Linked DNA regions of Canis lupus familiaris. The protein of the gene in region 1 purifies or fractionates together with the protein of each later gene. This does not show direct contact. Links are inferred from orthologs where the notes say so. Each region holds a gene or a part of one and is shown in the gene's direction. Other genes may lie near its edges. The genes, in order: SCLT1 and KIZ.

Evidence for each region.
Region 2: the proteins of SCLT1 (region 1) and KIZ purify together in Homo sapiens (co-immunoprecipitation; 3 studies listed by BioGRID and IntAct, counting the BioPlex papers as one, with this or other methods). This does not show direct contact. The link is inferred for Canis lupus familiaris from reciprocal best matches to the Homo sapiens genes SCLT1 and KIZ.

Annotation. Positions count from the first base shown.
Region 1 is NC_049240.1:12,801,646-12,817,662, forward strand, and holds the start of SCLT1 (sodium channel and clathrin linker 1), read left to right. Parts: upstream 1-8,478; 5' UTR 8,479-8,567; coding exon 8,568-8,601; intron 8,602-16,017. Other genes in the region: C19H4orf33 (UPF0462 protein C4orf33 homolog), read right to left, coding at 4,835-4,971, 7,661-7,721. UniProt on the Homo sapiens protein: Adapter protein that links SCN10A to clathrin. Regulates SCN10A channel activity, possibly by promoting channel internalization.
Region 2 is NC_049245.1:2,683,554-2,699,432, reverse strand, and holds the start of KIZ (centrosomal protein kizuna), read left to right. Parts: upstream 1-8,361; 5' UTR 8,362-8,385; coding exon 8,386-8,573; intron 8,574-15,879. UniProt on the Homo sapiens protein: Centrosomal protein required for establishing a robust mitotic centrosome architecture that can endure the forces that converge on the centrosomes during spindle formation. Required for stabilizing the expanded pericentriolar material around the centriole.

The DNA of each region.
Region 1 (16,017 bases):
TTGGCAAAGAAGAAGTCAAACTCTCCCTCTTTGCCGACGACATGATACTCTACGTAGAAAACCCAAAAGCCTCCACCCCAAGATTGCTAGAACTCATACAACAATTTGATAGCGTGGCAGGATACAAAATCAATGCCCAGAAATCAATGGCATTTCTATACACTAACAATGAGACTGAAGAAAGAGCAATTAAGGAGTCAATTCCATTTACAATTGCACCCAAAAGCATAAGATACCTTGGAATAAACCTAACCAAAGAGGTAAATGATCTATACCCTAAAAACTACAGAACACTTCTGAAAGAAATTGAGGAAGATACAAAGAGATGGAAAAATATTCCATGCTCATGGATTGGCAGAATTAATATTGTGATAATGTCAATGTTACCCAGGGCAATGTACACGTTTAATGCAATCCCTATCAAAATACCATGGACTTTCTTCAGAGAGAACAAATTATTTTAAGATTTCTGTGGAATCAGAAAAGACCCCCGAATAGCCAGGGGAATTTTAAAAAGAAAACCATATCTGGGGGCATCACAATGCCAGATTTCAGGTTGTACTACAAAGCAATGGTCATCAAGACAGTGTGGTACTGGCACAAAAACAGACACACATAGATCAATGGAACAGAATCAGAACCCAGAAGTGAACCCTGAACTTTATGGTCAACTAATATTCGATAAAGGAGGAAAGACTATCCACTGGAAGAAAGACAGTCTCTTCAATAAATGGTGCTGGGAAAATTGGACATCCACATGCAGAAGAATGAAACTAGACCACTCTCTTTCACCAGACACAAAGATAAACTCAAAATGGATGAAAGATCTATATGTGAGACAAGATTCCATCAAAATCCTAGAGGAGAACACAGGCAACACCCTTTTTGAACGTGGCCACAGTAACTTCTTGCAAGATACATCCATGAAGGCAAAAGAAACAAAAGCAAAAATGAACTATTGGGACTTCATCAAGAGAAGAAGCTTTTGCACAGCAAAGGATACAGTCAACAAAACTAAAAGACAACCTACAGAATGGGAGAAGATATTTGCAAATGACGTATCAGATAAAGGGCTAGTTTCCAAGATCTATAAAGAACTTATTACACTCAACACCAAAGAAACAATCCAATCATGAAATGGGCAAAAGACATGAACAGAAATCTCACAGAGGAAGACATAGACATGGCCAACATGCACATGAGAAAATGCTCTGCATCACTTGCCATCAAGGAAATACAAATCAAAACCACAATGAGATACCACCTCACACCAGTGAGAATGGGGAAAATCAACAAAGCAGGAAACCACAAATGTTGGAGAGGATGTGGAGAAAAGGGAACCCTCTTACACTGTTGGTGGGAATGTGAACTGGTGCAGCCACTCTGGAAAACTGTGGTTTTTCCTTTGAGGTTCCTCAAAGAGTTAAAAATAGACCTGCCTTACGACCCAGCAATTACACTGTTGGGGATTTACCCCAAAGATACAGATGCAATGAAACGCCGGGACACCTGCACCCCGATGTTTATAGCAGCAATGTCCACAATAGCTAAACTGTGGAAGGAGCCTCGGTGTCCATCGGAAGATGAATGGATAAAGAAGATGTGGTTTATGTATACAATGGAATACTACTTAGCCATTAGAAATGACAAATACCCACCATTTGCTTCAACGTGGATGGAACTGGAGGGTACTATGCTGAGTGAAATAAGTCAATTGTAGAAGGACAAACATTATATGTTCTCATTCATTTGGGGAATATAAATAATAGTGAAAGGGAATATAAGGGAAGGGAGAAGAAATGTGTGGGAAATATCAGAAAGGGAGACAGAACATAAAGACTCCTAACTCTGGGAAACGAACTAGGGGTGGTGGAAGGGGAGGAGAGTGGGGGGTGGGGGTAAATGGGTGACGGGCACTGAGGGGGGCACTTGACGGGATGAGCACTGGGTGCTATTCTGTATGTTGGTAAATTGAACACCAATAAAAAATAAATTTATTAAAAAAAAAGAAATTAATGCAAGAAATATTGAATATACTTCCACTGCTGGGAGGAGTGCCATGGCTGACATGGCTGACAAGGGTAGAATGTAATTTTGGCTTTGACTGCATAAAATGATTTTAATTTCCTACTAGAGTGACAAATTTGTTAAGTTGCTTAAAGAACACTAATGTTAATCCAAGTGTGCATAATATTTATAACAAAATTAACCTAAAAAGTATAGTCCTGCCCACTAGTTTACAATGTAATCTAAAGATAATGTTGGATCCAGAGAGAAACAACTGATTCTCCTTTCAACTTCCTGGGGACCGGGGATACTTACTATTCTCTCTTGAAACTTAATTCTTAGTGCCTCTCAATTTTGTATGCACATGTGCTCATATGAAATAGACAATTCAACTGTCAATGTCCTTTGTGACCTATGCTAGTGTGCATCCCCCACTCTACTTTTTATCATTCTCTGCTGCCTGTACATTGCTCAGTTTTGATTCACAGCATTATACCACAGGACATGTTTGTTTATTGTCTCCCCATTCCCAGCCAGAAAGCCTGTAAGTAATATGAACTCATCATTTATTTGTCAAGTGAATAATCCTCCTAGTTTTTGGATCCAAAACTTCATGATTCTAAGGTTTTCTGCAAAATAAATCAATTGTATTCATGGTATCACTCTCTTTCAGTTAAAACAATAGCAAGTAACTAAGATAATATGTCATATCTAGAAACTTCCTTTCAATTTAGTTTATCAAAGGTTACCTACTCACTTTGTTTCAGGTGCTGTACCAGGTGTTAGGGAAATTAACTATAAGCCTAGGGGAGTTAGGGATGTGTCTCATGTAGCTAAACCAACAAAGTCTATATTATCAATTGGTTTATTTTATAGTCCAATTTGATAAAGTTGGATTCCTACACCAAGCTAAGTTTTTCTTTTTTAAGATTTTATTTATTTGAGAGAGAGCAAGAGTGGAACACATAAAAGAGGGAGAGGAAGAGGGAGAAGCAGACTCATAGGTGAGCAGAGAGCCCATGTGGGGCTTGATCCCAGGACCCTGGGATCAGACGCTTAATTGACAGAGCCACCCAGGTGCCCCACCAAACTAAGTTTTAAATGAATCAAAGATTTAAACATAAAAACCATATTATAAGAGAAAAATTAATTTTTAAGACAATGTTATAGTTGAAAAAGCCTTTTAAAATATAACCCCAAACTCAAAAGACAGAAAAGAATGATACATTTGGCTGCATAAAATTAACAAAACTAAAAGCAAAGACCTGCCTTCACCCACCCAAAAGAGCTCACTATTACAAAAATCAAAAGACAGTTGGGGAAAAAATATCTGCAACTCATATTTCAGACAAATAACTAACTTTTTCAGTGCTTAAAGGGGTCCTAGAAATTAATAAGGAAAAGATCAATACCCCAACAGAAAAATAGGATAAAACAGTTAACAAAAGGTAAATGCAAAATGTTCAACCTCATTTATGATAGAAATGCACATTAAAGCAACAATAAATTACTATTTTCTTGTATTGGAAAATTTGATAACATGATGTGATAATGCAAAACAATGAAAAACAATCACATATTGTTGTTGGGGCATAACTGGCACAGCTTCTGTGAAGAACAATCCTTCAAAATCTATCAAAACAAAACATGCAAATATCCTTTGACTCAACAATTCTAGTTCTAGGAGTTATTACACCTGCACATATTCAAAATGACATAAGTATAAAGATATTCACTGCAACACTGTCTACAATAACAAAATAATGTAAGCAATTTAAATACCCATAAGTACAGGATTGGTAAGGAAATTATGCTGTATCATGCAATGAAATACTATGTAGCTGCTAAAAAAGAGTAAGAAGCTCTATATATATTTAAAATATACTAAGGGAAAAAAAGCAAGGTGCAAAATGTATGAACTTATTTCATTGAAAAAGAAGACTATTTGCATAAATGCTTGTGAATGCATATACTATCTCAGAAAGCACAGACAAGAAACCAGTGGTGGCAGTGGTTACCTCTTATGAGGCAATTGCTGGAGACAAGAGAGCAAGGGAGGCTTATTTTCAACTGCTATTACTTAAAACAACAACAACAAAAACTGCCTGAATTTTATACTATTAAAAAATAAATGAATGATTAAAAAGTGTTTTTTAAAGTCCATGTGATATATACCTCCTCTCTATATTATATATGCTTAACATTTCTTAAATGTCAGAATGAATACTGGGAATATTATTGAAGGAATATATTCATTCAAGGTGATCACCAGCCTATTATGCAATTTTGATGTTGGCTGTTTAGACTTCCTTAGAAGAATGTTTATCGTTAATCTGTGTTTTTCCACATTTTAACTTCTATTCCTCAAATTACTCTTTCATCCAAAAAAAGTTCCAATTTTAAAATTATTTTCATGCTTGTTTGCATTATGGAGAGGCCTTTAAAAGGAAAGTTGAGAAAGGAGAGAACCGCAGAACACTAAATGTCCAGGAGACAAAAAACATTCCACAAAGGTTAAAAGAAGGAAGTAATGGAAAAGATGTTTTCTCAGAACGTTTTACAAGGGAAATTTCCAAATTCTTCTATTCACGAAATTGCCTTTAGTTTCCTATAATTATATTTCAGTTTGCATTCTTGCTTCCACCTGCACCCCTGCCCGTTTATGAGAGAAACGGAGAAAGGAAGCAGTCGGAAAGTGGGAGTAAATAAACTGTGCCAGCAGAAGCAGCAGCTGAAAAAGAAGTTACCAAAGAAAAGGCTAACAAGACTGGGCGAAGCTGCAAGTAAGAAGCGAGGTAAGGACGCTAAACAAGAGAAGAACACAGACCGGGAAGCTCTTTTTCCGTTCAACACTCAGCTCGCTGCTTTCTGCGCAGGTGACTGAAGAGGGCTCAGCCTTAGGCTCCGCCCAGCTGCCTACATATCCCAGGGGGGTTGGGCGTGGAGGACTGAAGCCAACTCGTCCTGGTTTTACAGGAAAGGAAAAAAAGGAAGTGAACCTCTGAACTTTTGATCATTCTACTGAAGTTTGTGTGATTTTCTAGAAGGAGAAGGAAGGGTAATTCAGCAATATAAATACCATGTAATAATCTGAAAATGAGCTGTAAATTCCAGTTCAGGCAGGCACTTTCCAACTATGATCACCAGCAAATCACTGTAAAAAGGATTTTGTGAATGGATATACATATACATAAATGTATTTAGGACAGTGCCTAGCATGTATGTAGTAAATACTCAGAAAACATTAGCTGTTATTATTAAAGTCTACACAGGTTTGCGTAAAGAAAATATTTTTCTGTTGAAATTTTTTAAATTATAGGTTACTTAAGTGGTTGTCCTATTAAAACTAGACTATAAGGCAGGATAGTCTAAATGACCCTTGAGATCCCAAAATATGGTTCTGGTTGGTTCAGTCTTACCTATTCCAACAGTTTCAGTATTTATCAGCTTATTTTCCTTCATTTAGTGTCTCCCACCCAAGACAGTGTGAACTTATTGTTTCTATACAGGATTAGATGTAAATTCATAACATAATCATACATAAACTTTTAAAGTTCTCAAGAAAAGGCAATGATTTACAGAACTACTCTATTTCTAAATAATAAAATCATTCTGTATTTTGGTTGCTGAGAGTTACCAAAATGTCTACGGGATCTGTGGGTTTAATTCAGCAAGCAGTCACTGGACCTGAACTTCACAGCTACTCTGAGAATACTGTGCATATATTCTACATGTTTAAGTAAATTCACCATTTTCTCCTGATCTGCAACAGCAGATATTACATTAGTGTATGGCCATTATTCAATTATTTTCAGGTAAAGTATTAAAGTACACCATATGAAGCTGCAGAAAAATCACAATTTCATATGGTTTAGCATAAGTATGTTTTGCTCATAACATACTTTTAAAAACTTCTTTGGGGGAAAGCAGCTTTCGTATTTGTTTTACGAAAACTATTATTTTTGTTTTATAAAAATCATTTGATGGGAGAGGGAAATGAGCTCTTGCTCAATAGCTCAATTTCCAACTTTGTATTCTTCATGGTGCTTTCTTTCCACATGGTACTGGCTGCTTGATGTCAATTTATTAAACAAATTAATATTAGTAAGAACTATAAATTTTCAAAGGTTTTCTTTCTTTTTTTAATTTTTTTTATTTATGATAGTCACACAGAATGAGAGAGAGAGGCAGAGACACAGGCAGAGGGAGAAGCAGGCTCCATGCACCGGGAGCCCGACGTGGGACTCAATCCCGAGTCTCCAGGATCGCGCCCTGGGCCAAAGACAGGCGCTAAACCGCTGCACCACCCAGGGATACCCTCAAAAGTTTCCTTTATTGAAGAAATATATCTAACACACACACACACAAAAATGAAATTGGAGCTAGAGAATGGTTAAACACATGATTTTCCCATTCCTTGTACTCAATTACACTGATACTTTCCAATCCACCAAATTCCTTAAATTAATTCCTTCATCAGGTATTTTTGAACCCTTCTTGGATTCCAGGCTCTCTAATGGAGCCTATAAACAAACTACAAAACAATATGATAGAGACTGGATGGAGGAAGAAGCACAAAGTATTAAGGAAGCACCCTCCTTGGGGAAAGTGGGTAGAGAACACAAGAGAACTTTTAAAAGCAAGCAACACTAGAGGGGATACTTTAAGGATAAGTGGAAGCGTGACAATTTTGTTTCATAAAGATGAAAAATATTTTGTAAAAGCTCCATGCAAAAACCAGTAGAATCTTACAAACCAGCTTCCCAAACAAACCGCAATACCGTAATTTGCATTGAACTTGACCATATAAGCCAAATAGCTCAAGTATAGAGATAAAAATTCCAACTTCAGATATTTAATTTACATAATGCAAAGACCACTCATCATTTATATCCAGAAAGTGATCTTTGCGTTCACCAACACTAATACATCTTATTAATATCTAGTGTAGGTGTGGAATTAAGTTTATAACTGATGCCAAATTAACTCCAATGGCAACATGCAGATTCAAATGTAGGAGAACTTAAAGTCTAGTCCTCGGGGAGCGGGGGAGGAGCTCATGAAAAAGTCCTACGCTGACCTTTCAAGAAAGAGTTGACGTTTGCCCACTCAATCTCTCCCTCCAGTAAGTTTAACATTTATTTATTTATTCATGAGAGAGAGAGAGAGAGAGAGAGAGGAGCAGAGACACAGGCAGAGGGAGAAGCAGGCTCCACGCAGGGAGCCCGACGCGGGACTCGATCCCGGGTCTCCAAGGTCATGCCCTGGGCCGAAGGCAGATGCGCAGCCGCTGCCCATTCCTCCAATTTTAAGATAGGGCTTAAATGCAGACAAAATTTTTAATACTGGAAATTGTCATTTTGCCCTCAGATATTAAGTTCTGCCTAATTTTTTCTGACAAAAAAAATAACTTTTTTGTTCTTTTTGAGGAAGCAAAGATTTGCAGGATCTTTGTACCACCTCTAACTACACGTACGCCTTCCTGACACAGCTAAACACAGCTTGTCTCCTTCCCCTAAAGACCCAGAGGGGCAGGGCCGTACTTAGCTTGTGGAGACCAAGCCCACCTCCAAGATCCTCCAGAAGCTCCGCTCTGGGGGCGGCCTCGGAAGGCGCCAGCTTGGGCCCCGCCTCCAGTCAGACGTCTACTCACTTTCCAAACCCGCTCCTTGCGGCCAGCAAGCAGGTTCCCTCAGTGCAGAAGTGCCAGGCATCAAAGATTCTGGGAGCGTTTAAAATATGTGCTTGACGCCCTCCCTACGTTTACAACTTGGGGGGTTTTCTTGAAAAACCCCACACGCTGCACAGCCCCGCGGGCTCGCCCCCGGGAGGGAGCCTGCTCGCCGCCTCGGGGGTGGCTCCGCGCGCCGCCTTCCAGGTTCTCACAGCTCCACCCAGAGCTGGACCGATAGCCAATAGCGTGTAAGGACTCTAGGAAGCGCGATGACGCAGGCGCCGACGTCCACGTGATGACGCAGGCCGCGTCGCCGTCTCCAAGGAGCGGCCCGGGGCACCGGTTTCAAAGTCGCAGGGCGGGCCGAGTGGACTTCCGCGGCTGGCCCCGGGTTTCGCCGGCGTCCTGGAGTCGACCCCCGCCTTCCTCCCCGAACGCTGCCCCCAGGACGCCGCCGCCCGGCTGCTCGCCGGCTCTGTAGGCTGTGTCCTGAGCGGCCCGGCACGACCCCGAGTGACCTGCGGGACGCCTCCGGCCGCCCGCGTCCGCGCTTTACCCCGCCGGGATTCGGGGCGGGGGAGGGGGGGGACGAGGCCCCAAAATTCACGTGGCGGATCCTCGGCGCGCCTGGCATCTGAAGTCCGCTGCCCGGTCGAGGGGCCGCGCTGGGACTCGGGAGAAGGAGGCGCGGCGGGGCTGTCGACGTGAGGAGGATGCTGCCTACGCCCTCGAGAGCTTGACAAGCCCCGGAGCGTCGCTCTGTCCTGTGTCTCCGCACGGCGAGCTCTGGTGGTGGTGGGGGGGGGGGGGGGGGTCGGGTCGCTTTTGTTGTTCTTTTTTTGTTTCATTTTTGGAAGAAAGTGGCAGGTGGTGAAATCCCAAGGAAATGGCCACGGAAATCGACTTTCTGAGAGACCAAAGTAAGCTCCGTATCCCTCTGTGGAAAATGGTTACCCTGCGTGGCGAGGTTGCCGACCGGCTACTATTTTCGAATATGCCCGTTCGGTGCATGGAAATTTTGGAGAAACTCAAGTCAGCTTTACGGGAAAGCCTGGCGGGCGGGCGGGTGGGTGGGTGCGTATATGCTTAAGCAGAACATCGCCTGGTTCCTCCTTCAGCTGGACGCGGTTAGTATGTTCCTCGCATGCCCCGGAGAACTCAGAGGGGCGAGAGGCCAGGAAGAGTCTCCCCAAGGCACAGTTGTGGCTGTTTTTTTTGTTTTGTTTTGTTTTGTTGTTTTTTTTTTAAATATTCATGAGAGAGAGACACAGAGCGAGGCAGAGGGAGAAGCAGGCTCCACGCAGGGAGCCCGACCCGACGTGGGACTCGATCCCGGGCCTCCGGGGTCACGCCCTGGGCTGAAGGCGGGCGCTAACCCGCTGAGCCACCCGGGCTGCCCAGTTGTGGCCGTTTTTGTAAGGAGATGTTTATGTAAAGTCCCGTTTCGGTTACGTGTACGTGCCAGGCTCTCAACAGGCACCGCTGCTGCAAAGAGGTGGACAGTCCTGCCCTCCAGGAATTTAATTTGAGGAAAGAAATCCGTAAATTCCATAGATACACGCAATTGGCAGCAGGTGCTAACCCTTACGCCTCGGTTCCTTCATGGGGTTGTTGGAATGATTAAATGAGAGTTTTGTTTTGTTTTTTAGGATTTTATTTATTCATGAGACCTGGGGTGGCGGGGGGGCGGGGGCATAGAGAGAAGCAGGCTCCATGCAGGGAGCCCGACGTGAGACTAGAACCTGGGACTCCAGGATCACACCTTGGGCTGAAGGCAGATGCTCAACCACTGAGCCACCCAGGTTGTCCCCGATTAAAGGAGTATTAAAATATGTAAAGGCTGGGGCAGCCCCGGTGGCTCAGCGGTTTAGCGCCGCCTTCAGCCCAGGGCCTGATCCTGGAGTCCAGGGATCGAGTCCAGGGATCGAGTCCCGGTTGGGCTCCTTGTATGGAGTCTGCCTGTGTCTCTGCCTCTGTGTGTGTGTGTGTGTGTGTCTCACGAATAAATAAATAAAATCTTTTAAAATACGTAAAGGGTTTAGCATAGTATCTGACACTAAACATATTTAACTATTAAAGGACTGTTATTAACTGTGATCAAGGAAGGTGTCATTTGGGCTAAAGCTTGAAGTACTAATACGAATCTGCTAGACAAGAACCGTGTGGGTATCCCAAATAGAATGGTATATGCAGCATGTATGCAGCGTTGAGGAGATGAGTATGCAAGGAGGTTGGCTTGTATGGAGTGTGGTTTATCTAGGCAAATAGCAAGTGGAGCTGAACAGGGAAGAATGGGACTGGATAATGAAGGGCCTTGTCTGCTGTGGGTTGAGTTTGGACCGTTGCACAGATGATAGGAACCACTGAAAAGCACGTGAGAGTAGCATGATTGAATTTGATTTGGAAAGCCTGGTAATGGCTGTTAGGAGGACTGAGTGCTCTAGCAGAGTCTGATAGGGGACTATTCTTAATTCGCACAAGTAAGTGAAGTAAGGTAGTACAGTGAAGTTGGAGATTAGGGAATTTGAGATGAGGTAGGGGGCAACTGAGGTTTTTGCATTAAGCAACAGGGAAGGTAGGGAAAAAGCGGTAAGTTCGGAAGCTTTATAAACCAGTGGTTAAGAACTCTACCCCTAGATTCAGTCTGTCTAGGTTCATGTACTAAGTTTATCTCTTTTCAGGTCTTTGACCTTTGTCGAGTTCCTTAGCTCCTTGGTGTTTCAGTTTTCTCATTTATAAAATGGAAATAATAGCACAATAACCCTTGTGGGGTTATAAGGATTAAATGAAATGATGTAAATAAAGCATGGTTTCTAGGGCATAATAAATGTGCTATAAAATTTAGAATTAATGGACTATAATGATACCATACATTAGCATTCTTTTTTAGGTTTGAAGTGGGAATATCCGCCATCCCATAAGGAAGACTGGCTGACCTCCATCTCAAGTAGTGGGGGACAAGAGTTGGGTGATAAGGATTTTGGTTGGGGTGGGGAGGGTACCTGAATCACCCCAAAACTATGATTTTTAGAGGAATGAGCCAGCCATGTTTTCTTTTTAAATGGAAACTAGGATGCCGGTTACAGCTGAGGTGAAAACAGATGGCTTGACCTTCTCCCACTTATTCTAACCTTCACTACACTGACTTCTTTTGATCTTAATTGTCTCTTCATTTGTTCCATTTGGATTTGGTAGTCTAGCTCAAGAGAATTTGATTTAGTGTTTCTCAAGTAGCAACCCCTGTGATAAAGCATTAGCTTTACAAAAAACTACAGGTAATTCCAAACCCAGTCATGCTCCTAGTAAACTCCTAGCATAATTTCAAGACCCCATTCTCCCACCTCCATCTGAGAAAGGAAATTTGATAGTCCTTAGAGACCTGTTCAAAGAGATACTTGTTTATGAAGCTAAGAAATGAAAAAGTCATTCTTGTAGTGGGAATTTGGGAAGTGGAGATGAACTTATTTTTTCTTTTCATTCTCTTAAGTGTTCTTCACAGGCCAAAAGTTTTTAATTTTGTTGAGGTTCTCAATTCTTTTTTTTTTTTTAAGATTTTATTTATTCATAAGAGACAGAGAGAGAGAGAGGCAGAGACATAGGCAGAGAGAGAAGCAGGCTCTCTCTGGGGAGCCTGATGTGGGACTCGATCCCAACACCCTGGGATCACACCCTGAGCCAAAGGCAGATGCTCAACCACTGAGCCACCCAGGCGCCCCTCAATTTGTTCTTATATGGATGTCTTATCTAAGTAATCTTTGCTTAATCAAAGGCTGCAAAGATTTTCTTCTATGTTTTCTAGAAATTTTGTAATTTTAGGTTTTACATTTAGATTTATGATCCACTTGGCTGAAATTTTGTATAAGGTTAAGATAAGGATCAAAGTTTACCTTTTTGCATATGAATGCAATTAAAAAGACTATCCTTTCTCCATTGGATTTCCTTTGCGAAAAGTCATTTGTCCTTATTCGTGTCCATCCATTTCTGGACTCTGTTCTGTTCCATTGACTTGTTTTATCTGTTTGAGCACCAGTGTTCCACTGTTTTGATTATTGCAACTTTATAGTAAGTCATAAAATCAGGTGATGTTAGCCTTTCAAATTTGTTCTTTTTCAGTTATTCTGGCTATTCTAGATGCTTTGCACTTCCATGTGGATTTTAGAATCAGCTTGTCAATGTCTTCAAAAAAAATGCTGAGATTTTGAGAGGCGTTGCATTGACTCTGTTGATCAATATGTGTAGAATTCATATCTAATGATATTTGAGTCCTCTTATCAATGAAAAGGTTGATCTCTGCCTGCATTTTCCCTCTTTGTGCCATAGCCTGAAAGTCTCTCACGTCATTCTCTCCATTGATGTGTCTATTATTTCTCTTGGCAATATTTTGTAGTTTTCAGTATATAGGTTTGCATGCCTTTTATCAGATTGATCCCTATGTATTCTGGTTTTGATACTATTATAAATGGTGGTATTCTTTTAATTTCTGATTTATCATTGCTAGTATATAGAAATACATCTTTTTTTGTGTTTTCTTTCATGTTGTACCCTGCAACCTTTTTAAACTCACTTACTCTGATAGGTTCTTTTCAAAGTTTATCAGATTTTCTACATAGATGATCTTTTCATCTGTCAATACACTTTTACTTCCTTTCCAATTTGGATGCCTTTCATTTCCTTGCTTTATTGTACTGGCTAGAACTTCGAGTACAGTTGAACACAGGTGGTTGAAGTGGACATCCTTTTCTTTGTCCTGATCTTAGGGTACAAGCGTCTGTCTTTCAGAATTAAGTATGATACTAACTGTAGATTTTTCAGAGGCGTTTTTAGATGATTGAGGATATTCCTTTCTAGTCCTAGTTGTCCGAGAGTTTTTATCAGAATGGATTTTGAATTTTTTTCAAATGCTTTTTCTCTGTTTATTGAGAGTATTGAATTTTTTTTTCCATTTTGACTTACATTGATTAATTTTCATATTACCTTTTTGGGGGGATAGACTTCTCTTATGTGTTACCCTTTTTATTGTTTGATTTGGCTTTCTAAACGTTTATTTAAAATTTTAATTTTCTATATTCATAAAGCCTTTTTTCCCTCTTCTCATCTCTATGTCTGGTTTTGGTAATAGGCAATGCTTTCCTCACGGAATTAGTGGGAAAATATTTTGTTTTCTTCAATTTTCTGGAAAAGTTTATGTAAAATTGACATTATTTCTTCCTTAAATGCTTGGTAGAATTTACCAGTAAAGACAAGACCTAGAGTTTTCTTTGTGGAAAGATTTTAAACTGTAAATTTAGTTTCTTTAGTAGGTAAAGAGCTACTCAGTAGTCTGTTGTATGGTATTTTTTGGGTGTTTTTGTTGTTGTTGTTGTTGTTATGTACTGTTGTATACAGAGACCCTCCACAGATTTCATATATCCAGAATTTTCTCTCTCAGGTCATTAAGCTGGAGCAATTATAAGCCTCACTTCATTTATTTTGCATCTCTCATCATCATTATCTCTTGTCTAGTGTCTGGCAAACCATTATTTATTTGCTTTTGGTTGTAATAAGTGGGAAGGTAGTCCTTGTTACTTCATTTTGGACATAAGCAGAAGTCCTATTCAAGTTACCCTACTTTTGAAATCTTAAACACAAGTTTCTTACTCCTGGTAGAAGTATTCTTTGGCTTCATCAAGACTTCTGTTCTTTGACTCTTCATTTTCCTCTATATCCTTAAGTCTTTCCCAGCTTGTTTTTATTGCTTTCTCTTTTTTTAAAGATTTATTTATTCATTTGAGAGAGAGGGAGTGAGCATGTGTTATGCACAAATGAGGAGAGGGGCAGAGGGAGAAAATCTCAAGCAGACTCCCTGCTGAGTATGGAGCTGAATATGGGGCTCAGTCCCACAACCCTGAGATCATGACCTGAGCCACCCAGTTACCTCTGTTTTTACTAATTTCTTATACAGCTTATAACCATTGCCCATCGGTTGATCTACTCTCTTGTTAGTGATCTTAATATGTTTATAATCTCGGCTTTTTTGAGTAGCACATACTGGATAATACTTCATCCCTTAATTAGTTGTTTATGTTGCCTTAATAGTTCTCACACCCAGCTGTTCAATAACCATAGATAAAAAACTCAACTCTCTAGATAAGTACCACCACAAACTCAAGGTTAACTCATAACTAAAAAGTGATCAAGCTGGGATTTGAACCTAGGCCATCTAGTTCCAATGTCTATATTCTTAATGTCTACTCAACAAAGAGACTTGCGGGGATCCCTGGGTGGCGCAGCAGTTTGGCGCCTGCCTTTGGCCCAGGGCGTGATCCTGGAGACCCGGGATCGAATCCCACATCGGGCTCCCTGCATGGAGCCCGCTTCTCCCTCTGCCTGTGTCTCTGCCTCTCTCTCTCTCTCTCTCTGTGACTATCATGAATAAATAAAATCTTTAAAAAAAAAAAAAAAAAAGAGACTTGCAAGAAAAAAAGGGGGGAGGGGAGCCTGTTTCACTGATGTGCATAGAAACTAAAATCCTACATAAAAGAGGTGACTGGGTGGCTCAGTAGGTTAAGTGTCCCAACTCTTGATTTCAGCTCGGGTCATAACCTCAGGTTCATGAGATCGAGTCCTCCATCAGTCTCCATACTGAGTGTGGAGCTTGCTTAAGATTCTCTCTTCCCCTTCCCCTCTCCCTACTCCTGCCTCTCCCTCTCTTAAAAAATATCCTATGTAAAATATTAATCCAGTAATGAATGTCTGTATGTGTACATATATGTATACATATGCCTGTGTATAATTGTCTTCATATTGGGTTCATCCCAGTAATAGTTAGCATTAAAAATTACTGAATACAATCAAGAAGACCTAGGTTAATGGAGAAACCACTAACATATTAAATTTGTAGATTAGAATACTCAATATATTAAATATGTCAGTTCTTCAACAGATTAATGATTAGATTCCGTGCATTCTCAAGCTTAGTTTTTTTTTTTTTTTAATTTTTATTTATTTATGATAGTCACAGAGAGAGAGAGAGAGAGGCGCAGAGACACAGGCAGAGGGAGAAGCAGGCTCCATGCACCGGGAGCCCGACGTGGGACTCGATCCCGGGTCTCCAGGATCACGCCCTGGGCCAAAGGCAGGCGCCAAACCGCTGCGCCACCCAGGGATCCCTCAAGCTTAGTTTTAACAGTATCGTTCTAAAATCTAGTGGGAGAGGGGCACCTGGGTGGTTCAGTCGGTTAGGTGACCAACTCTTGATTTCAACTCAAGTCGTGATCTCAGGGTTGTGAAATGGAGCCCTACATCGAGCTCCCCACTGGGTACAGAGTTTGCCTAAGGTTTTCTCTCTCCCTCTGCTCCTTCTCCCTACCCCCACTAGTACACACATTCTCTTTCTCTCTAAGAAATAAAAATCTAGTGGAAGACTTAAGAATAACCAAGAGAGTTTTAAAGAATATCAAGGTGAGATATTTTACCTGTCAGCTATTAAGACTTAAAATATCCAATTATTAAATCAACATTAGATTGTCATACATAGGTCAGTGGAATAAATTAGCAAGGAAAAGACATATATGTGAAACTTGTTATCTGAAAGAACAATACAAATCAGTGCTAGGATGGTCCTAGGATAATTGGCTATCCAAATAGGAAAGAAAAAATAATAAAGATACCTTTCCCACATATATAGAAAAACCATTCTGATATTTTGATTTAACGGCCAAAATTTAGAAAGATTTTTCACAAAAATAAACTCATACTAATAGAAAGATGGTTAAAGAATATGACAGGCCATTACAAAAAAAAAAAATAATAAAATTTGAAGAACTACTAAAAAATGAAAAATCCCAGTCTCATCAGTAATCCAGAAAATGCAATGTCCAACAGTGGAATAAGTGTTGAATGAATGAAGGAAATAGTAGTTACAGTAAAATTTTCTCCAGATTAAAGTCAATCTCTGAGGACTGTATTTCCCTCAGTAATTCACAATTGACTTCTGAACCATTTTAATTACTGAGAACTCAGATTTAGTGTTTTTTTCTTATTTGAACACCCTATCAGGTAGGGTGAAAAAAGATTTGCATTGGAATTATTATATCCATGACCATATCTACAGCCTCCTCTTGAGAAGAGCAATAGGCAGAAACTAGATCCTATACGGTGCTAAAATTTTAGTGCTGTGTGTCAAGTTAACAATCTTAAAAGTTCTGTGGGCAACAATAAAAACATGGATAATTTCTTGTAAACTCGGTAAAAAATTAAAAACCATTTACCTTATCAGTATTCCATGATTTCTTTATCGGAATCTCATCTATTTGTCATATTTTGCCACTAAATTATATGTACTTTAAAGGAAGAAA
Region 2 (15,879 bases), on another chromosome or scaffold:
AGACATAAACACACAACCATCAAATTAAATACTATTTATTATGTAAAACCCTTTGGTTTCAACCTGTCTGTGAGTTGTAAGAGCAGGCCCAGAGCATCCCTTTGTTTCCAATCCTTCTAGTTAGGAGTACTTGTTGAACCCTGATGAGAAGTGCATCCAAGTGGCAAACAATTATGAAATCCACCAAATGACTTTTGAGAAGAATCTTAGCATGCAAATATTGTTCATGCATGACACCAGCACCCACACAGATTCAGGGCTGCTGCTCACCTCCCACAGTTGCAGAGCAGTCCCTGCCAGACAGAACCAAGTCACCATCCAGTCCTAATGAAAGAAAAGAGTACATACAAGGATTTAGTGCTGCAGATCTATTGCCTCTAAGGATTCCTCTCTGTCAACAAAGGGATAATCCTGAAGGTCTCACGGAAGCACAAATTCAAGGACTTCATGGAAATCATAGGTACGCAAGAGCTGTGAGACAAAATGCACCGGTCTCATTTAAGAAGTCTATAGTTAGGGGGCACCTGGGTGTCTCAGTTGGTTAAGCAACCAACTTCTGATATCAACTCAGGTCTTGATTTCAGGGTCCTGAGTTCAAGCCCCATATTTGGGCTGCATGCCCAGCATGGAACCTACCTAAAAAGGAAGTGGAGGAAGAGGAGGAAGAGGACGACGACGACGACGATGACGACGATGACGCCGACGACGATGACGACGATGAAGAAGGAGGAGTCGTCTCTAGCTGGAGTCATTTAAATGCCCTGTTATTCTATTTCTGGCTGTTAAATTTAGCTTTCACAGAGCTTGTGTATTTTAGAAACCCACATAGTAGATGTTGACTTACATGATATGAAATAAAATGAGGAAATCCATGTTTTCACTTTATTTATTGGAATTTGCACTCAATTCTTATTGTTTCAAATTAGCTGTTATAAATGCCTTTGAACAAAATGCTCTCAGTAAGCATGCTCTCCTGTATTATTAGTCCAGGTTCTCTGGAGAAACAGAACCTATAAAAAAGATGATAGATAGATAGATAGATAGATAGATAGATAGATAGATAATCTGGAGAGAGAGAGATTGATGTATTTTAAGGAATTGACATATTTAATCATAGGGGCTAGCAAATCCAGCATCTATATGCAGGCCTGCAGTTTGGACATTTCAGTAGGAACTGATGCTGCAGTCTTGAATCCAAAAGCAACTTGGAGGCAGGATTCTTTTTTTCCAGGACCTCCAGTCTTTTTTCTTAAGGACTTCAATTGATTGAAAGAGGCCCATTCAATTGTGGAGGACAATTTGCTTTACTCAAAATTTATTGATTTAAATGTTAATCACATCTTAAAAATACCTTCACAGCAACACCTAGACTGGTATTTGACCAAACAACTAGACACCATGGCCTAGCAAACTTGACACATAAAATTAATGATCACACTGCCTCTCTTGAACACCATCACCTCCCACCAAGGATGGCACCTCACATTCTAGTTCCCACCTTTCTACCTCCTCATAACTTATGACCTCCCCTTGTGCTTATGCATCTTGTCACTTTCTCTCTAGATCTTCATTGTCTGACATAGTAGCCAGTAGATACACATGTACTGTAAAAGTTAAATTTTAATTAAAATGAAATGAAATCTAAAATCCAATTCCTCATTTGCACTAGCTGCATATCAATAGTCACATGTAGCTATTGGCTACCATATTGGACAGCACAGAATAGAACCTTTGCATTATTGGTGAAAGTCTCATTTAACAGAGCTACTCTAGATGCTTCTTCCTCAGATATTGACAATCTCAGAATTCCAGGTTTGTAGTCTTCTTGACCATCTGGATGCTCCTGTAAATCCTCTTTGATAATGTTGTGGAAGGGCATTTGGATGCACTTGTATAATTGTTCAACAGAATGCTGTGTATGAATCAGGCTAAGTAATGCCAGCTGCTAAAACAAACAACCTCAAAATAGCAATGGCTTAACACAATAAAGGCTTATTTCTTGTCCAAGTCACATCCTCTGCTCTTTGCAGTCATTCCGTGTTCTTCCAGAGCCACAGTGTTCTCCACTGGAATCTGACTGTAGTGGGCCAACAAACAGAAAATGGGGAAGAGAGTATAGAATATTTGGGGGTCATCCTTAGGAGTGGCTGCATCACTTCCACTCACATTCATTGGCCAGACTGGGCCATATAGACCCATCTAACTGCTAGAAAGCATCAGACATGTAGTGCCAAAGAGGAAAATGAACCGAATGGTGAACACATAGTGCTATATCACAGCATGTAGAAAATTGCATTTATCAGTGAACACTATTCCTCCAAACAATGAAACATGTCTACATAAAAACCCTCCTGCATACATTATAATTTTACACATCTCATACAGAAAAATAAAAAGTATCAGTAGGTATTGATGAATAATAGCAAATAGTGAGTTTCAAGGCCATGTAGAATGGCGGTTAAGAAAGGATGGACTTTAGAATTAGAAAAGGTCTGTGTTTGAATTCTAGCACTACTGCTAGCTGGCCAAGAACATACTGACAACATAATCTTAGGCCAGTTGCTTAAACTTGTGGTGCCTTCAAAAGGACAGTCCTGGGGTTTAAATGATGCAACAAATGCTTACACCAGCAAATGCTGTGACAAGGAGGGGTTACATAAACATATACATGTGACAGCCTCTTCTATCTTTTTTTTCACTCCTACGTTCTACTTTTGAGTCCTCTCTTCTTACAAACTGTATTTTCTAATAGCATAGGATGCAATGTCTAATATTTTGGTAGAGTGATGGCAAAATGAAATAATTTTCCATGTTTGGTTTGTTGTAGGTTTAGTTGTACCCCCCCCCCTCACAAATTCATATATTGAAGTCCTAACTCCTAAAACCTCAGAATGTGACCTCATTTAGAACTGGGGTCATTGCAGATATAATGAGTTAAGATGAGGTCATACTGGAGGAAGGAGGGCTCTAATCCAACTGACTAGTATCCTTATAAAAGGAGACATTTGGAGACATGCATGCACACGGGGAGGACACAACGTAAAAATGAAGTAGAGATCAGGGTGATGCATCTATGAGCCAAGGAATGGCAAAGATTGCCAACAAACCACCAGAAGCTAGGAGAGAGGCATGAAATAAGTTCTTCATAGCCCTCAGAAGGAGCCAATCCTGCCAACACCTTGATCTCAGACTTACAGCTTCCTGAACTGTGACACAATAAATTTTTGTGGTTTAAGCCACCCAGTGTGGGGTACTTTATTATGGCAGCCCTGGCCAACAAACATAATATCCAAGCAGTTATTGACTCAAATATACAGGATCCATTTGTAAAATGGCATTTAAAAATGTAAAGTTTAAATTGTAAAATTCCAATTTCAACATATTTCCAAAACCAATTTTCCACTCATAAATCTGTTTTTGAGCTTACAAAATCAGCAGTTTTTCTTTTCTTTTAAGATTTTACTTATTTAGGGATCCCTGGGTGGCGCAGCGGTTTGGCGCCTGCCTTTGGCCCAGGGCGCGATCCTGGAGACCCGGGATCGAATCCCACGTCGGGCTCCCGGTGCATGGAGCCTGCTTCTCCCTCTGCCTGTGTCTCTGCCTCTCTCTCTCTGTGTGACTATCATGAATAAATAAATAAAATCTTTAAAAAAAAAAAAAGATTTTACTTATTTATTCATGAGAGACACAAAAAGAGGCAGAGACATAGGCAGAGGAAGAAACAGGATCCCTGCGGGGAGCCCAATGCAGGACTCTATCCCAAGACCCCGAGATCACACCCGGAGCCAAAGGCAGATGCTCAACCACTGAGCCACCCAGGTGTCCCACAAAAGCAGAGTTTCATATGGATCATCCTAGGATCCATGATTACAGGGATAAAACACTGTCTTTCCTTGCTGTATGTTTAGTGGGGCTCCTGGGAACCCATATTTAGAACTAAATTCACTAATACCACACAGCTGTGGCCCTGGCCAAGTCCCTTACCTACCCTGAATCCTTTTCTTCTTCTAAAAAATAAAGAGGTGACAGATTCTCTCTTTCACCTATGACATTCGGTAGCTTATAGGAAGCCTTGTGGGTCCAGGCAGACTTGTAGGCCTGCAGTCCAGGTAAGTGAAAACAGAGCTGCTTATAGAAATCAGCTCTACTAATATAAAGGGATTTAAAAATAATATTGAAAGACCATACTACAGCAAATTAAATTTCTAAGTAAAGAACACTGAATTTATTAGAAGTGTCAACATTCAGAATACATAATTTTAGCATACTCTAGAAATATTCACTTAGTTTGCTATATTTTGTTTTTTTTTCTTTTTTCTTTTATTTATTTATTTTTTTAGATTTTATTTATTCATAGAGACACACACAGAGAGAGAGAGAGAGGCAGAGAGAAAAGCAGGCTCCATGCAGAGAGCCTGACGCGGGACTCGATCCAGGGTCTCCAGGATCATACCCTGAGCTGCAGGCAGCGCTAAACCGCTGCGCCACCAGGGCTGCCCTATTTTATTGTTAATAAAGAAGGTTCTATATCTAGATTTGTCATATGTCATTAATAAATCATTTATAAAATGCAGATTATAATTATTTTGAATTATCTATTTACTGTTTAATTATATTTAAGTTTAGGTTCCCCTAAAATGGCCTAATAAAAATTTGAGATGCTAAGTGACTGCTTCATCTGCTTACTCTGTGTATTTGCTGAAAATAATTAGTTATATTAATTGAACTTTTTTTTCCTTTAAAAAACACATCTGGGTGAGGCTGAATCTAAATAAAATATGCTAAAAATATGCATTATTTTTGCCAGTGTGGTGGGTAAAATGTAGTTTGCACTAAAATGAGCAAAATAAACCTTTGTACATGACCATAGAATCAATTTGGTATAATGATTTGATATAACAACTAAACACAGAGTATTAGTACTACCCTGAGAACCAGGCAAGAGGACCCCTGCCTTGGCTTCTGTATATTAATAGAGTCTGTTCTGGCCCTTTTCTGGCCATGCTACTCCACACAAGGGAAGAGGCCCCAGTATATACTTGTCTGGAACTCACATACACACACACACACACACACCCTTCTTCTTTTTTTTTTTTTTTTAAGATTTTATTTATTTATTCATGAGAGACACAGAGAGAGAGGCAGAGACATAGGTAGAGGGAGAAGTAGGCTCCATGCAGGGAGCCCAATGTGGGACTTGGTCCTGGGACTCCAGGATCACGCCATGGGCTAAAGGTAGACACTCAACCGCTGAGCCACCCAGGTGTCCCCACGCACACCTTTCTTAGAACACATTCCAGGTAAGTACCACTCTGACATGCTTTGCTCAAGGCCTTGGAGCTTGGCAAGCTCCAAGGCCTTTAGAGACCTCTTTCCTGGATCATTCCTGAAAGGGTGACTATCACTGGTGGGCTCACCATTAGGCTTGGTGTGTGGCTATGAGAGGCTAAGGTGGACTGGGTTGGGGGACACATACATTCCTGTCTGTTAGGAAGCTCCTCACAGTGCTTGATTGAGCCTCAAGTGGTAGAGGGTAAGTAGGGGAAGAAGTCACAGAACTAAATCCCCCTGTGGCTTTCCAGGTTATTAGGAAGGCACATTGGTCAAGGTAGGAGGAAAGAACAGTTTATCTACAACTTGTCATTGTGAGTTATAATCATTTCATACTTCAACAGATAGCATGAAGGCCTCCAAGTACTCTAGCCCTGGACCTAACAAATAAGAAGAGCAAGCCGAGTAACATCATAATTGTATATTGCCAACCTTTAAGTGGTCCATCTATCTCGCTAATGATCAATTTGCTACCTTTAGTCACACCTTGCACATAAGAATAAGTGAAATTAGTGGCTGAGAAAAGAAACCAAGTGAAGAATAAGAGACTAAAGAAACGCTATAGTGTAGTTCTTCTTCTACTCTGTGGGTTTGGAATATGTTTTTCTTCAGGAAGCTTATGCCCCAAGATGATGACAGTCATAAAAAGTGATGTTTACTATGTGTGGGGCCCTTTTATAAGCATTACACACATTAATTAGTCATTATAACAATGGCATAGGTGGGTCCTGCAGTAACAGCCTCCCCATTCTACAAGAGGAAGTCTGGGCATGGAGAGAGTGACTTGCCTGCAGTCACACAGCTAGGTGGAGGAAGAGGAGATTCGAGCCCAGGCAGTCTGGCTCCAGAGGCTCCGCTGAAGGATTCGACAGGGCGTTTGTCCACTGAGTCACGTCTGCGCAAACAAATGTCTGCTTCACAAGCAACTAGTTAGCCACTCTTCCCTCTTCACAACCACATCCTTGGGGCAGCACGGACTTTCCAGCAAGCAGCTGTTCTTTTTTTTTTTTTTTTTTTTTATGGGGGAATGTTTTATTAAGAATAAAAAAAAACACACACACAACTTCCTGATAACATTTTAGAGCAAAAATGAATAAAGAAGATGCAATATTTCCCATAACAATATCGAAGAAATAACATCAATGAGTCCAGAAAATATCTTTAGGAGATAACATGGTGTCACTTTGCAGAGTTCTGGGTGAAATCTTTTCTGAATCACCAAATTCAGACATCTGTAAAACAATTTCAGATTAAGTTGTTAATTTCTGTTTACATCCAGTTTAGAAATTACCATGATGATTTCCCTCCATTTCTTAGAAAATGTATTTCAATAAGAGAAACTTGACGTTCTGGATTGGTAAGTACCCTTTGAAATTCCCAGAGATTAACCTAAAGAAAAACTGCAATATCTGTGTGTGTGTGGCAGGGGGCGGAGTATATGTGTAGGCGCCCCAGAAGCATGACACCCAGCATGTTGTGGACTTGACCATTTCCATCCAATTCCGCAGAATTGCTGGTTCACCACATCAGCCCAGGAGGAGGACATATCCTCATTTCAACAGACACCTCCTCAGGGTCCTCTGCTGTGGAGGACAAGTCTCTGAGTCCATGAGCTGTCTCATTCCCTATGAGAGTCTTCAGAGGATGGGGATACCTGCAGGTCTTCTTAGAGAACTCTCGAGGGGACAGGCACACAAGTTCCCTCACTCTGAATGACACAATAAACTATTGGTCAAAAGAAACACAATTCCCAGACATAGAAGAAACTCTGATACTTTGTATCTTTAATCTGCCTTCGATACATGAAAACCTACGAAAAAGTGTGATTTGTTGACCAAAATTCCTATTTTCCTTTACTTTCCAGTAAGCATGACCTTTCCAAATTTCCATATAGAGTGGAAATACATTATTGAGCCCTTAAATGCCAGTGCAAATGATGAGACGTTACAACTGCACATCTACGGTCACACTCAGAGGCATTTGATTGGTCATGCAATAATTTCCATTCCACAATGAATTTGTCAGTCTCTTCTGTAAGAAATACAATGATAACACAGAGCACCTATAACCTGGCATGAAAAACCATTTTGCTAGATTCATGAACTTGGCACTGTTTTCCTGAGGTATAAACCGAGGTCAACATTGAAGTTGAAGTGACATGAAATCCATGAGTCCACCTCTTATGTGTCAGGAGGTGTCACAAAGGGGGTGGTAGCAAAATCTTCCTGAAACCTTATATTCACTGGGAGGCGGGGCAACTCCCTTGGGATAAGGGTCCTTGTCAGTTTCCTTGTCTTCAGTCTTAATATAGGAGGTAGGGAAGGGAACATGATATAATCAACGTGGTTCAAGTAGGCTGGATGCAGTTATCTCCTGAAAAATAGACATTTAATTCCTTTTGTACCATTTCCAAGCCACGACCAAATGTGTCCATATTTTTGGGGAGACTTCTCCATCTACATTTTGTGCAAGTAAAACTTTGCACACTCATACATTATTGTTTCGCAAGCAGCTGTTCTATTGTCAGGGCTGAGCGCAGAGTATTTTGGGTTGTCTTCTTTTATGGTGTTTTGTTCTGCCTCTTAAGTGTGGTAGGAAACAAAGTTTAGTGCAGCGCCCCGCTCAGAAATCCTGAAGAAGGGAGGGAGAGGTGGTAGGAAGGAGAGGATGAATCCGGGAACACTGGTGCAGCTTGATGCCGCGGGCGGAAATAACCTACTGAACTGCTCCTACCCAGCGGCGCTCCCCACAACCCCTCAGCCTCTACCAAGGTCCTCACGGAGGCTCCCGGTCGCGGGGAGGGCCAGGGTCTCTCCCGCGAGAATTCTGAAGGGCGAGGGGAAAGGGAGACGCCAGACTCGGGAGAGGGAAGCCGGGGAACCGCGCCCCCCCCCCGCCCGGGCCGCGTCACCCACGCGGAGAACCTTCCCAGGGCCTCCGAAGCTGCGCGCGCAGCCTCACAGCACGCCCCGCCCCCGCCCCGCCCCCCGCGGCGCCTGCCCCGCCCCCCGCCCCGCCCCTCCGCGGCGGCCGGCGCCCGGTTTACCGCGGTGCATGGTGGGGCCGTCGCCCCGGACAACCCGGCCCCCCACCCCCGCCCGGAACGCGGCTGCTCCTCGGCGGTGCTGGGGCAGGGGGCGCGGCGAGGGCGGCATGCGGCCGGCCTCCCCGCCTTCAGCGCCTCCGGCGAGCTCCGACTACCACGAGAGGCTGGGCCGCCTCCAGCGCGGGCTGCGGGACAGGTACGTCTCCGGGGCCGGGGCGCGCGGGGTGGGCCCGGCCGGGGGTCAGCCGGCGCCCTAACTCCGCGGCCTCGCCACCCACCACCCCCGCCCACCCCCGCCGTGTTTCTCAGAGCCCGGGTCCGCCCGGGACGCTCCCCAGGCTCCCGGTGCGGCCTAGAGGACAAAGTTCCCCAAATACGGTGCCCGCCGTCCTCACGGGAGGGCTCCCACCGGGAGATGCGGCCGCGTCACGCAGTTTGCCCAGAAGCGACACTGGGAGTCCTCTGCCTGCCACTCTCATCACGCCTCGTGGATTTCCCTACTTCCCTTCTACACGCCTCCTCCCTTGTCTCTCCTAAGATCGTCATCCCTCCCTGACAGCTGCACTGCATCAGCGATGACAGCCTGGGCACGCAGGCGGGGGAGTGTGTGTGAGAGAGACAGACACAGAAAGACAGAAGCATCTGCCCTGTTTGAATGCAGGAGACATTTTTTGGGGCGGGGGGAACGAGGGCTGGCCGGATTTCCAGCAAAGAGGTGACATTTACAGAAGGAGAAGTCCAGCTTCCAGAGGGTTCGTGATACTTTGATTAAGACGTGAAGGATGAGAGCCACTAGATCTAAGAGCACAGAGAGAAAATTATAAAGCAATTTACTATAAATAACCACATAAAAGATAAATTGTTGGAACTGTTATTCAGCTGCTAAATTAATTGGAGTTGGAAATCTCATTAGTTGACAAGAAAGGAAATAGATATTTGGATCTCTTGATAAACACAGCGTTTAATGAATGTTAAAAGTTACAAAATCATTTCAGTGAAGAGGAGAGCTTTGTGTGTGGCAATTCTAAAATGACAATGATAATTACATATAAGGTAAAGGCAGTAATAGGTGGTTATAAAAAGGAATTATATTCATCTTAGCCTCGATTTAATTCTTGTCAAATATTTATAGAACATCCGCAACAGGCCTCCTTAATTGCCCTCACCATATTTTACCCCTTGATCCTTTTCTATATCCTATTTTCTTTCTGACATACTGCCACTCACCCACTCCAGGGACCTCCTCACCTCCAACTTAAAAAAAACAAGACAAAACAAAAAAACAAAAACAAACAAACAAACAAACAAAAAAACACTTCCTGCAGTGGTTTCCCTATGGCAAGTATTGATCATCCCATTCCCTAATTTACGTTATCTCTATTTTAATACCACTGTAGATAAATGGCTTGAGTGACTTGCTCCCTGCTTAGAGAGAGAATTCCAGGAGGACAAGAACCATATTTAGCTGTATCTTTAGCTGGTAATAGAGTACCTGAGGTGGAGGAGGAGCTTGACAAATTGTTGAGTGAATGGCAGAGATCCTAACGTCAACCAGCCAGGACCCAGCAGTTTTGAATGTCACGTATACAACACTGTAGCCACACATTGTCACTAAATCTTGACGATTTACCAGTCAACCAGGGAAAGTGAAGAGTATGAGATTTCAAAAATGGTATTATGTCTGCACATACCTTATAATTAAAGGAGAAGACACTGCTCTGCACATCAGCACACCTAAAGTGCTTTTGCTCTGTTAGAAGAGTAGCTTAGTGTTCTTAGGCCTTTAGTTACTTGTATCTCTTAGCCCAAGTTCTAATTTTAAAATGTTGCTGGTTAAAAAATAAATAAATGAATAAAAAATAAAATGTTACTGGTTTAAATGGCATTCTTTTTGAACTAAGTTCATTGTGAGGTATCATTTTTACTTTCTGTGCTAGGAACACCTGGTGGTTTATAGTCCTTATGGTATAATAACTGTGTAATGATTAGTACTCACTTTATGTTTAACACTTAAAATGTTTTAACTGTTAATCAAGGTGAGGCTGTTGAAATTATATAAGGAATTCAAGTAAAATTTTGTAGCCTATTCATGGTTCTACACTTGGAGGTTTTTAAAAATTGTTAAGTTGGTACAAAACTGTTGCTATGTGTTTTCATCTTTCATTTAAAAAAATATTTTTTTTAGAGAGGAAGTGTGGAGGGGCAGAGGGAGAGAGAGAGAAGCCCAAGTAGGCTCCTCGCTGAGCGCGGAGCCTGACATGGGGCTTGATCTCACTACCGTGAGATCATGACCTGAGTGGAAATCAAGAGTCAGATGCCTATCCAACTGAGACACCCTGGTGCTCCTTATTTTTCATCTTAAAAGTCCATAACTAACTTCTCATGCATAGTAAGTACAGAGGCATATAACTTTGGATGCAGAGAAACTTGGGTTCTGCTCTACAAAGAATTGTGTGACTTTGAGCAGGTTGTTCAGCTTCTCTGAACCTTGGCTGTTCACCAGAAATGAGGAGCACTGAATTACATGTATGGTAAGGCCACAGATTTGTTTTTTCTCTAGTAATGAGCTTCAAACTAAAAGAGTTGAATGTTGTAGTTTTACAAAGAAACAAGTAATGAATATCATTGTTTGTATCCTATTTGAGTGTTTGAATGTACCTGCTTTTTGTTTAGTTTTGTTTTTTAATCACTCTCACTGACTCTAAAACTTCAGAGTCATTTTAAAGGCTGCATCCCTGGGTCATCCCAGCTGCTTTATCAGTCCAGAAATTTCCTGGGGGTAGGAGATAAAAACAGCCTGCCCTTTTCTGGCCTTCTTAGAGCTGGCTCACTGATGGTCTAATATAGCTGGTCTAATAACTGGGCCTTTCCCTGGTAAGTAGTATATTTCTAGCCCAGTTTGTCTTAGCTGAAGTCACACATAAATGTACTTTTACATTCTTAATTTTATCCTCTTTGAGTATGGTGTTTTCTCTGCACTCGGTGAAATCAATCATAGAATCTTAAAGAGCCTGCTGGAGTGACTTTGTTACAGTGTGTGTAGTGCCACATGCATGGTAGAAACATGTGAGTGGAATTGACTCTTATAATTATATAAAAACATCCCTTTAAAAGGCCCATTAACCAGTTTTTTCAATGCCAGTATTGATTCAGAGTGAGATATCATAATAGTCCAGAAATTGATTCTGAGATATTAGCTAAGTGAAGCTGAAGTTGGTATTGAGACAAAAACAGAATAACAAGTGCTTAAAAGGAGAAAAGGGAATCATGTGGCTACACTCTTAAGGACTAGCAGCTGTGTAAACCTTTGAATGGTCGAGGTGAGGGATGCAGGTGACTAAAACCATGGACTGTATTATGGGTATACATCCCAGGGTTGGGTGTTTCAGAGATTCTGAGATAAAGATTTAGTATGTAGGGGTTGCAAGGTCATCTTCCACATAAACCTTTCTCTGGCTTTTTATTGGAGTAAATATCTTGTTTTAAGTCTTAAATTTAAAATAGAAATGAAAGACAGCATTCAGAAGCTCTGAAGCGTGGATGAGGAGGTTGGGAAAAGGGCCTGTGATGAGATTAATGAGATTAGCATCATGTTGTACGCAGTGGAAGGCCAGGAGGTGTTTGTAGTTTTTCACCATCTGAAGCGCCATAATAGGTAAGTGTGACTGGCAGATGTGTTTATCTACTGAAGACAGAGGAGCAATGAAGAAGTTCTATGTTCATGATTAAAAAAGAACTTGCGGCACAGGTGGTGATGGATTCCTAAAAAGACTGTGGTCGTTTTTCACTAGAGGTTGTAGGTGAATTTTTAAAATTATTTTGAATTAAATTCAAGCTCGCAAAAAAGTTGCAAATATAGCAGAAAGACTTTTAGTATTTCCCTCACCCAGATTCCCACTCTTAACATTTCATTATATTTTTTCTGTTTTTGTCTATCTGCCTGTCTAAAATTATTAGTCTTTTCTGAACTATGTGAGAAACTGCAGATAATGATGCCCCATTACTCCTAAAAACTCAAGTGTCTATTTCCAAAAATAAGGATGTTCCCTGACATGGATGCACCCTATGACTCTCCTAGTGTGGAAATCAACGCTGATACCAGTCCACAGACTCCAATCACATTTCACTACCTGCCTATTTTGCCAGCTGTCCTAAGACTGTTTTTTTCTTTTCTCTTTTTTAAGATTTATTTATTTATTTATTCATGATAGACAGAGAGAGAGAGAGAGAGAGAGAGAAAGAGAGAAAGGCAGAGACACAGGAGGAGGGAGAAGCAGGCTCCATGCCGGGAGCCCGACGTGGGACTCGATCCCGGGACTCCAGGATTGTGCCCTGGGTCAAAGGCAGGCACTAAACTGCTGAGCCACCCAGGGATCCCCAAGACTCTTTTTTCTTTTCTGGACCAGGATCCCATCTGTGTACTCATTTGTTACATCCTTTCAGTCTCCCCCAGTATGGAGCTATTCCATAGTTGTTTCCTATCTTGTATTCTGACAATTTCATAGAGTCCAACTCTATTACCCTTCTAGAGGGTAATCCTCAAGCTGGATCCATCTAATGGTTCCTCATGATAAGACAATGATCACACTTTCTTGGCAGGAATAACACAGAAGTGAAGCAGGATGTCAGGGCACAAGGTCACAGATACACTTAAGGGTCCTTCTGTCTTTGTAATTTAATGATAGATGGCTCACTGTTCATTCTTCATTAACTAAGTATCCTACTAATCATGAAATTTTAGAAGCCGCCAAAGTGACTAATAAACAATTCTAACATGGAAGCAATTATGCCATATTTACTTCTCTTCTAAGTTCACTCTTATTTTTTTAAATTTTAGTTTAGTTTAAATTCAGTTAACATATATTATTAGTTTCAAAGGTAGAGTTCAGTGGTTCATCAGTAGCTTATAACACCCAGTGCTGCTAATCATATCACATGCCCTCCTTAATGTCCATCATCCAATTACTCCAGCCCCCCACCCATCTCCTCTTTAGCAACTCTCAGTTTGTTTCCTAGAGTTAAGAATCTCTTATGGTTTATCTCCCTCTCTGATTTCATCTTATTTTATTTTTCCCTCCCTTCCCCTATGGTTCTGTTTCTATTTTTGTTTTTAAGATTTTATTTACTTATTCATGAGAGACACAGAGAGAGGCAGAGACACAGGCAGAGGAAGAAGTAGGCTCCCCTTGGGGAGCTTCATGTGGGACTCGATCCCAGGACCCTGGGATCACGACCTGAGCCAAAAGGCAGAAACTTAACCACTGAGCCACCCAGGTGCCCCTTTATTGTTCTGTTTTGTTTCTTAAATTCCACAGATGACTGAAATCATATGGTATTTGAGCTTCTCTGACTGACTTATTTTGCTTAGCATAATATCTTCCAGTTCCATCTACATCATTGCAATCTCTCTCTCTCTCTCTCTCTCTCTCTATATATATATATATCTCATATCTTCTTTATCCATTCATCTGTTGATGGACACTTGGGCTCTTTGCATATTTTAACTATCATGGACATGGCTGCTATAAACATTGGGGTGCAGGTACCTCTTTGAATCTCTATGTTTGTATCCTTTGGGGTAAATACCTAGTAGTGCTATTGATGAGTCATAGGGCAGCTCTATTTTTAACTTTTTAAGGAACCTCTATATTGTTTTCTAGAGTGGCGTGGCTGGACCAGTTTGCATTCCCACCAGCAGTGCAAGAGGGTTCCCCTTTCTACAGCCCTGCCAACATCTGTCATTTCCTGACTTATTCATTTTAGCCATTCTGACTGGTGTGAGTTGGTATCTCATTGTGGTTTTGATGTGTATTTCCCTGATACCTAGTGATGTTGAGCTTTTTTTTTTTTTTTTTTTTTTTTTATTTTTTTTTCATGTGTCTATTGGCCATTTGTATGTCTCCTGTGGAGAAATGTCTGTTCCTGTCTTCTGCCCATTTCGTTACTGGATTGTTTATTTTTTGGGTGTTGAGTTTGATAAGTTCTTTATATATCTTGGATACTAGCCCTTTATCTGATAAGACATTCTCAAGTATCATCTCCCATTCTGTAGATTGTCTTTTGGTTTTGTTGATTGTTTCCTTTGCTGTGTAAAAGCTTTTTATCATGATGAAGTCCCAGTAGTTCATTTTTTATTTTGTTTCCCTTGCCTTTAGAGACTTGTTTAGCAAGAAGTTGCTGCAGCTGAGGTCACAGAGGTTGCTACCTATGTTCGCCTCTAGGATTTTAATGGATTCCTATCTCATGTTTAGGTCTTTCATCCATTTTGAGTTTATTTTTGTGTATGGTATAAGTACCTCATACAGGAATTCAGCAAAGTGGCAGGATATAAAATCAATGCACAGAAACCTGTTGCATTTCTATACATTAACAATGAGACAGAAGAAAGAGAAAATAAGGAATTGATCCCATTTATACAATTGCACCGAGAACCATAAGATACCTAGGAATAAATCCAAAGAGGTAAAGAATCTGTACTCTGAGAACTGTAGAACACTTATGAAAGAAATTGAGGAAGATACAAAGAAATGGAAAAGCAAGGGGCAGGGCAAGATGGTGGAGGAGTAGGGTCCCCAAGTCACCAGTCCCCACCAACTTACCTAGATAACTTTCAAATCATCCTGAAAATCTGGGAATTCGACCTGATATTTAAAGAGAGAACAGCTGGAACTCTACAGAGAGAAGAGTTTGTGCTTCTATCAAGTACAACTCGTTTTTAGCCACTCTGCACTAAGCAAAATGACTAGAAAGAGGAACTCACCACAAAAGAAAGAATCAGAAACAGTACTCTCTCCCATACAGTTACAGAATTTGGATTACATTTCAATGTCAGAATGCCAATTCAGAAGCACCATTATAAAGCTACTGGTGGCTCTGGATAAAAGCATAAAGGATTCAAGAGACTTCATGACTGCAGAATTTAGATGTAAATCAGGCTGAAATTAAAAACAAATGAGATGCAATCCAAACCGGAGGTCCTAATGACAGGGTTATTAGGGATAGAGAGAACATTCCTTAGCATCTTAAAAGCCATCTACGAAAAGCCCACAGCAAATATCATTCTCAATGGGGAAATACTGGGAGCCTTTCCCCTAAGATCAGGAACAAGACAGGGATGTCCACTCTCACCACTGCTATTCAACATAGTACTAGAAGTCCTAGCCTCAGCAGGCAACAAAAAGAAATAAAGGCATTCAAATTGGCAAAGAAGAAGTCAAACTCTCCTTCTTCACAGATGACATTATACTGTACATAGAAAACCCAAAAGACTCCACCCCAAGATTGCTAGAACTCATACAGCAATTCGGCAGTGTGGCAGGATACAAAATCAATGCTCAGAAATCAGTGGCATTTGTCTACACTAACAGCGAGGCTGAAGAAAGAGAAATTAAGGACTCCCATTTACAATTGCACCCAAAAGCATAAGATACCTAGGAATAAATCTAACCAAAGAGGTAAAGCATCTATACCCTAAAAACTGTAGAACACTTCTGAAAGAAATG